Linked DNA regions of Drosophila melanogaster. The protein of the gene in region 2 interacts with the protein of the main gene of each other region in a pairwise test. Each region holds a gene or a part of one and is shown on either strand. Other genes may lie near its edges.

The links.
Region 1: the proteins of kel (region 2) and Brr2 interact in a two-hybrid assay, tested with the Drosophila melanogaster proteins (one study listed by BioGRID).

Annotation. Positions count from the first base shown.
Region 1 is NT_037436.4:15,966,170-15,970,092, forward strand, and holds the start of Brr2 (Brr2 U5 snRNP complex subunit), read right to left. Parts: upstream 1,704-3,923; 5' UTR 1,584-1,703; coding exon 1,539-1,583; intron 1,443-1,538; coding exon 747-1,442; intron 690-746; coding exon 1-689. Other genes in the region: CG10516 (uncharacterized protein), read left to right, coding at 2,201-2,524, 2,830-3,391, 3,457-3,599. UniProt on the Drosophila melanogaster protein: Catalyzes the ATP-dependent unwinding of U4/U6 RNA duplices, an essential step in the assembly of a catalytically active spliceosome. Plays a role in pre-mRNA splicing.
Region 2 is NT_033779.5:18,136,152-18,140,074, forward strand, and holds the start of kel (kelch), read right to left. Parts: upstream 1,933-3,923; 5' UTR 1,781-1,932; coding exon 1,326-1,780; intron 1-1,325. Other genes in the region: Socs36E (suppressor of cytokine signaling at 36E), read right to left, coding at 3,694-3,923. UniProt on the Drosophila melanogaster protein: Component of ring canals that regulates the flow of cytoplasm between cells. May be involved in the regulation of cytoplasm flow from nurse cells to the oocyte during oogenesis. Binds actin.

The DNA.
Region 1 (3,923 bases), on a different chromosome or scaffold from region 2:
CCCTCGAACACAGGCTGCACATATTTCGGAAGCTTGTCCACAGGCTGAAGTTCCTCATTGGCATCAAATGGCACGGGTTTCAGTGCAGGCACGTGCACCTCCTCGTAGCCCTTTCGTTGTTTCCTGTAGGAGCCGTCGGGAAGCTGACAGCGCTTGTTGGCCATAAAGTGAGATCCTTGAGTGAATGCCATCTCTTCCAACTCGAGTAGCTGTCGCACACCGGCCACCTGCCCGGCAGCCGCCGCTCCACCATCCTCTGCATCGCCTTTGCCACGCTTGCTTCCCCGTGCTTCGCCCTCCTCCTGATCCTCTGACTTTCCCGTATCCAATTGCCGAAGGATTTTGGCCAACGCAGAATTTCCGCGCATCTTCTCGCGAATCCTTTGCCGCTCGCTGTCCGTTTGGGCCGAGGCGAGCATGGTGCAGTACAGGACCATCTGCCGGTTAAGCTTCAATTGCTTAATGAAGTCAAAGCAATCGTAGCCCAGCAGAAGCACCAATTGATTTTCGCAATCGCGATCGTCGGCGGCATCTTTGAGGATCTTCAACACATCGGCGGCTTTGCTTTGCGACACCATGGCGTCCTTGTAGAACTTGCTCAGACAACGCTGCAACCAATACGCATCTATGTCCAGAGGATGCAAGGAGCGCTCTTTCTTTACATTATTTGCGGCTTCCTCGTTGGCTAGCTGGGAAGGGATACACGAATAAGAAATGGGATTCGCAATTTTAACTACATTACTCACATTCTCTGCATGCAGTGTGTGATCAATGCGGGCCTCCTCTCCTTCATCCTGGGCATCATCGTCGCGAATCTCGCCATACATGTCGTTGTCGCTCTCCTCTTCGGATTCCTCAAACTGAACATTGATGCCGTAGGTTTCATCGATCTGCTCCTCGTTGTTGGGAGCAGCAGTCAAAGCATTCACGGCATCGCTGCCAAAGTCTGTGATTTTTTTGCCCAGGTTAACCAGCAGAGCGAATCGCTCATCTGTAACTGCGCCCAGCAAGCTGTCTATATCCTTCTTTCGCTCCCGATCCTTTAAACGATCGTTCTTGAGGACAGCCAGAATCTCATCAGCGGCACCGCACAGGATATCCCTGGGCTGATCCCCCAGAGCCTCCTGGATGAAACTGAGCAGGACCTCGTAGGTCTGACGAGTTTCCTGGGTCTTGGGTCGATACACAATGCCCACCATCTCGTCAATGCCCTCGGAGAGCAGAGTGGCTCCCTTCATCCGCTCGAAATCGTACTGGGCCTCGTCGCGCTTCTGACGTTTCACCTTGCGCTCCTCCGTTTTCTCCGGCTTCGTTCGCTGGTACCGATCTCCCATCCTTGTTCCGTCCAGCTTTCCCACCAGGGAACACACCTCGCCAGTGGCCTCATCGCGGCGCGGACGTTCGATGAGTCGGACATCGGCTTGCAGCACAAGATTGGAGTTCTGAAAAATGGAAAATACATTTAACGTGTTTGTGAAATTCTGGTGAGACGCCGCATGGAGTGGGAGAAGTTTTCCCGGGCGGGATTTGACACTTACCGCCTTGTACTCGTATTGCAGCTGACGTGCTGCGGCATCCGCCATGTCTGTTTAGTTGTTTTTATAAGTATTAAGCACTTTTATTAACCTATTTTACAACTTTTTGCGGAAATATCGTAGTGAAAAGCCGCTGTTTGTGGCTACGCGTGCTGCCAGATTGTCAAAAGGCTAAAGAGATGCCATATGTGCGAAGCCAACTGAAAATCGATATCAGGGCTGCCATTTGTAGGAAACCTATCGTTAGCGCGCGCATCTAAGTTTTTAAAAATGTAGCCCATCAACATTCTATTTAAAATTTGAATACTGGTTTTTTAGCTTTTGTAAACACCAAAATTTCCTACGCACTAGCAATCCACAAAAGAAATTGCTATAAATTTGACCATAATTCTCATAATTGAGATATATCTAGTATATTTTAAGTTCCGAACTGCGGCTTCGGTCACACTGGCGGCGACGTCGGCAGCGATGCCGACGTCTATTTACAACGCATCGTTTTGTTTATTGTTCAGTCAGATCAGAGTAATGTGCTTATATATGAGGCTGCAGCTGGTTTAACTGGAAACATTTGTGGTCCGTCGACTGCTCGAGATCATTGTACACGGCTGACACAATTCATTACAAAGCAATCGAAGGTAAACCAGTGAAGAGGAACAAGTGCCAGCATGCTGCTGCCCCCGTACCAAGAAGCCTGCAATCCCGGCTTCTGTGATTGCCCGTTTCCCAACTCCATTGAGGTTACCAACCACAAGGGCCATATACCCGACCTGGTCAGGTGCCAATGCGGCGAGGATGAGTCCGGAAACGTGAATGCCTGGCGGTGGCACGCCACTGATGAATCGGATGCCGTGGTCACCGACCGGGACATCATCTTCCATCCCACCTACAGTCAGGGCACGGCGATTGTGAGAGGGGAACAGGCCCTAAAAACAAACATGGTGCACTTTTGGGAGATGCGCGTCATCACGACTCTGGCCGGCACGGATGTGGTTAGTTATCAGGCCGGCTTGGCAACTAGTTGGGATGCTCAGCATGATGAATGTCACTCAAAGTCGCCGCCTTAAAATAGAACACAACTAACCAGGCATCTGGTGTGCTCGTTTCCATTGGAGACGACTTGATTGTTCGCTTCGTTGTATTATGGATTACAGATTACAACGCGGCGATAAGATAACAGACGCAGCGGGAGGAGGAAATCTCAGCAGACACCCCAACTAGATGATAAGCCAGCTAAAGTTCAATGTAAATAATGTTCTCTTTATAATTGCCTTTCTTTTCTTATAACTTTTCCTAGATGTTCGGCATCGGCACGGAAAGCGTTAATCTAGGGCAGTTCAAGTTTCACTTTGTCTCGGCCCTGGGCACCAATGCCCAGTCCTGGGGCTTTTCGTATTCCGGAAGGATTCAGCACTGTGGCGAGTTACTGCCCTACGGCCAGAAGTTCTCGCAGGGCTGCTTGATTGGTGTCTGTTTGGATCGAACGCGTGGGCACTTGGAGTTCTATTTGAACCGCAGATCGCTGGGAGTGGCCTACACCAATGTCCCGACGGATCCGGATGTCAAAATATATCCCATGGTCTGCTCCACAGCCGCGAAGTCCGTAATTAGGCTGATCAACTGCACTTCGCAACCAGTCACACTGCAGCTGCGATCTTTCCAAGCATTGTCCAGGCAGCCGCTCAAATTGGCCGAACTGCGTCAAATGCCGGGTCTCAAAGGCATCATGCAATCCTACTGGTTCCTGGCACCGCCAATTCGTTACTCCCGGAACTCCCGCGAAAACGAATTGGATCTGGGCGACGAAGCAGTGCTCTCAAGCTCCAAGCAACGGTTGAGGCGCAAACAAAAGTACCGAGGTGAGGTCACGAAGTTACGTCCACTATCATTTCTGCCACATCACTTTTGCAATTTCAATTAATAGAAACCGACGATGCGGCTGTTGATGAGGACGACTTGTACGCCAATGCACACAAAATCACGTTGCGAAGCAGTGATAGCGGCGACGAGGAGCACACCGCTAGTGTCCACGAGATGTGCGACGAGTACTTCCACTACCTGCTTTAGTCTTACCAAGCATATCAATATGTTTAAGTATGCATTTATTTGAAGGAGCTTAGTTATAAATGTAATAAGTAGAAATGCTGAAGCTAATTTTAATTACTGTAAGACTTCCTAAAATACAACTTATTAATTAAACGAAACATCATAATTTTCCCATTTTGATATATTTAAAACCATTTCCTTTATACGCTAGCAGCGATGTATTCATTTAGGTACCGATTTAAATAAGATCTTTGTTACTAATTCCAGCCTGGTCTAGGTTGAACAATCTCTCAAGGAGCAATCCGCCGTCCATTAATGACAAGTTTTTCGATTTACTTTATGTTA
Region 2 (3,923 bases):
TGTATGTTTGTAAACAAAAGTGCTTGAATTTTTTCAAGAGGAAAATATTTTGTTTTGTAAAAAGAGACGGGGATGCTATTAACTGTGCAAATTATGGCGCCATTAAATGATGATGACTACTCGAAAAGACTAAGATCTTTTGTCTTCAAAATCGTAAGGTGTTATAATTATAACCCAATAAAAAAAATCTCATAGAATATACACCTCACGAAATATTTGTGTGATTCAATTCCCAATCAAAAAGCAATCCACATTACAACGCTCGGCTTACTTTTTGGGTTATACCACATTCACTTTCGCGCCGAATACGATATGATTGGTCCGAAAAAAAAAACTCGTTTTATGTAAGCTACCAATAAATTTTCCATACGCCCAGTAGTTTTCCAAAAAGTAAGCAAAGGCGGAGACGCGGAAGCGGAATCGAAATGCGATTCGAAAACGAATATCATTTTTGGCCGCAACCAAGTTCAAGGTCGTGGCCCAATGCGAAACCCGAAGGCGTAAGCAACTCATCATAATAAAAACTAGACAATAATTAATGCGAATGGCCCCACGACAAAAGCGGCGGCAAATATTCGTTTATACATATGTAGTGTGCAAACACAAATATTAGCAACGGCCAGATAAACAAAGCGAACTGCGCAAATATGCGAGAGACGATCATCTGACATTTTCAGAGATTTTATTTTCGCATCTTGGCCCAAATCTCAAAGCTCGAGAGCCAGTCGGTCCACCTGTTCCCGTCGAACACGCAGGGATTGAATCATGCGCCTTTGTCCGGGAACAGAGGAGATGAGTTTATAATAGAGTGTAGTTAGCACAGTTCTATTTATATTAAGTTGAGGTAGGTCGTCATATTTAACAACTGAAAGTTTTAGTGGTAGAAACTCAGATCAGCTTGTTTTGTCAAGGAAATAGTAACTGGGAAATAGCTGACACCTTTTTAGAACCTGAACGAACGTTCAGCTGGTTTGCTGTTGAGCAAACAAATGACATTTGAAACATTTTTCGAACCGTTGTAGGTGTGCTTATTTACATAATCAGGCTATAAAATCACATAGATCTAATTCTGCATATCATTAAAAGTCCTATGTGGGTGCTGTGTGTTCTATTCTCCAGGGCAGGTACAAAATAACCAATGTTCTACCTAAGGTTTTTAAAACCTCTCACAGGTAGGAATTAGGATATAATACTATTTGTGGATCTAAATATACTGCCTTAAGGTCTTTAGAAACCCTGGCTACTTCTTTATGATGCTTAAGGACTTAACCAAATTTTATAGTCGTACGAACTGATCCTTCGACAGGATCTCGTGCCATCCTTACTTTCTCATCTCGTTCATGGCGTCGAAGGAGCGCGCCGTATGCTGTTCATTGCTGTACTGCCCCACAGTGCCGCGCTCCTTGCCATTTGGCCGCTGGACGTGCTTCTGGGAGCTCTCGTCCAGGGAGTTCTGGCTGGCGTAGCGCAGAAGGCAGCTGCCCCGCTCCAGGCCACTTCCCTCGGCGGCGGGATTCTGATGGTGGTGGTGCTGCTGCTGTTGCTGCTGCAGCAGGCGGTTGCGCTGCTGCATGGCTGCCACGCCCACTGCGGCACCTAGTCCGGGCGGTGGCGCCACGAACTCCGCTCCCGCTCCGCCTTCATTCTGTGCTGGTTGTTGTGGGTTCTGACCCTGTTGTTGTTGCTGCTGCTGCTGGTTGTTGTTGTTGCTGTTGCCATTGCTTAGGTTGCTCATAATACCGATCGTATATTTGGTTAGCAGCGCACTCAGAGCTATCATCCGAAACGGATCGGAAACGGAAGTCGCAGCGAATCGAAGGTGCCTCGCCTGGTCCGAAAAAACAAACCGAGGTGGTGAAAAATTGTACACTTTTTGGACGCGACCAGAGCAGTGTGACCAGCCTCGGGTTGGTCGCAAGTTACCACTAGCGATGAATACTCATCGATAGTCCGATAGGCATTTTCAACCAGTTCTCACTGAGCTGGCTTTGTTTCCAACTATAAAATTAATGATAAAGTCATTTAATTTTTGAATTTTTGTAATTCACTTGAATTACATCTTAAATATGACCTCTCCCCTTTAATTTTTATTTATACGTACGTTTCAAAAAGTGTGATTTTTAAATTGATATACAAACTAATATTCCACATTTACCTAAACTTAAAAAAAGCATACCTAATTCATCTTATAAAAATATATAAATAAAATTGCAAAAAGATTACAAATATGCGACACAGAATTCATTAAGATTGCATATTCGAATTCCATAAAAGAAAGTAAAAAAGGTTTAGTTCAGCATAATCTTGATAGAATATCTATAGATATTTTATAGATATAAAATAAAATAAATAGAAATCTATAGATTTTAGTTGATTACTCTCATTTTATAAAGAATTCACGACTTTATAATGAAAATAACGAATGAGTTAAACATTCATTTGTTAAAGATATTAAAATACATCAATCATTTGGGTTGATTATGATTCCACACTTCTGATTCAAAACACACTTTGAGATTTTTTCTAATATCTTGATCAACTTTATTTGTTTGACTCTTTTTTCGATTTTGTTTTTGAATATTGATACGCATGCTCATCAACATGTGAGATATGTAAAATACATTAAATAGGTATTGGAAACAACTGCTTATTGAATGTTTACGAATAACAGCAACCACCTAGGTAGGAATACATGATTTATAATTCATTATATTAATATAGCTACAGCTTAATGCGAAAATCGGTAGTATTTACAAATGCTCTACACGTGTACAACTGACGGGTTTTTTCTTTTTAAACAAAGCACTCGCTTGCGAACGAAATCACTTCGAATAAATAAATAAAGTATATTCATAAATAGGCGAAAATTACATTTGGAAATTTGGCTAATGAGAGAGTTTTACACTAACTAAGCTGCATTCGTATCTCGTATTTACACGTAACAGTAACACATCATTTAGATTCCATACTTCAAATAAATACAATGAAATATTACAAGAATACCAGCGATTACGAAAAGCTCGATTGGCCCTTCTTTTTGCAATACTTATGTGTGTAGGAGAGAGGGTTGCTTTAGATAATAATACTTAGTTTATAGTACAATTAGCTAACTGCGATTTCGATTCTACATTCTACCAGCTCGCTTTCAAGAGTGCCACAACTCAAAAATCCGTCCGAGCTGCATTCCAATAGGTGAGATATATATGGTGAACATTTGGTTTTTGATCCATGACAGTCTTGTAGTAGCGAGCTAGCGATTTTGTTATGTGGCTTCGCGTTTGATCTTTTAACTTATGGTGGCGGCACACGCTGCACTGGGATTGTCTCAGTTTGAGTTTTGGTTTCTGGGTTCTGTTTGCCCCTCCGTCCACGTCCTGATCCTCAGGAGGAGTTGGAGTGACGCTCCGGCGTGGCGACAGTCTTCTGGTAGCAATTCAGATTGGCCGACATCCGACCAAAGGCGGCTGCCATGCGGTTGGGCAGCCTGCTGAGGTGCTCCTGAAGATTGGACGATCTGGATGAGGACGGAGCCGATGGGCCCGACGCCGTGGTGACCTGCTGCAGCTGGGCCACCACCTCGGCGTGCTGAACGTAGGAGACCCGTATGTTGACCCCCTCGTCGTCGTCCTCGTCCACCTCGCTGCCGCTCTCCACGTCCTCGTAGTAGGTGAAGCCCACCTGCTGCTCCTCCCGCTATACATTGCCGTAGTACGGCATCGGGGTGTTCTGGTCGATGGGCTTGACGCGCAGCTTCTGCTTGTAGTGATACTCCTTAAGGTAGCTCTTCAGCCGACCGGGCAGCTCCATCTGGTTGATCCCGTCGTAGCTGGTGTTGGACACAATGGTCGCCCGGGAGAGCTGCTGCAGGGAGAAGGTCTGCCTTCTGTGCAGGGGTATCGTCAGGCAGGGCTCGAAGAACATCA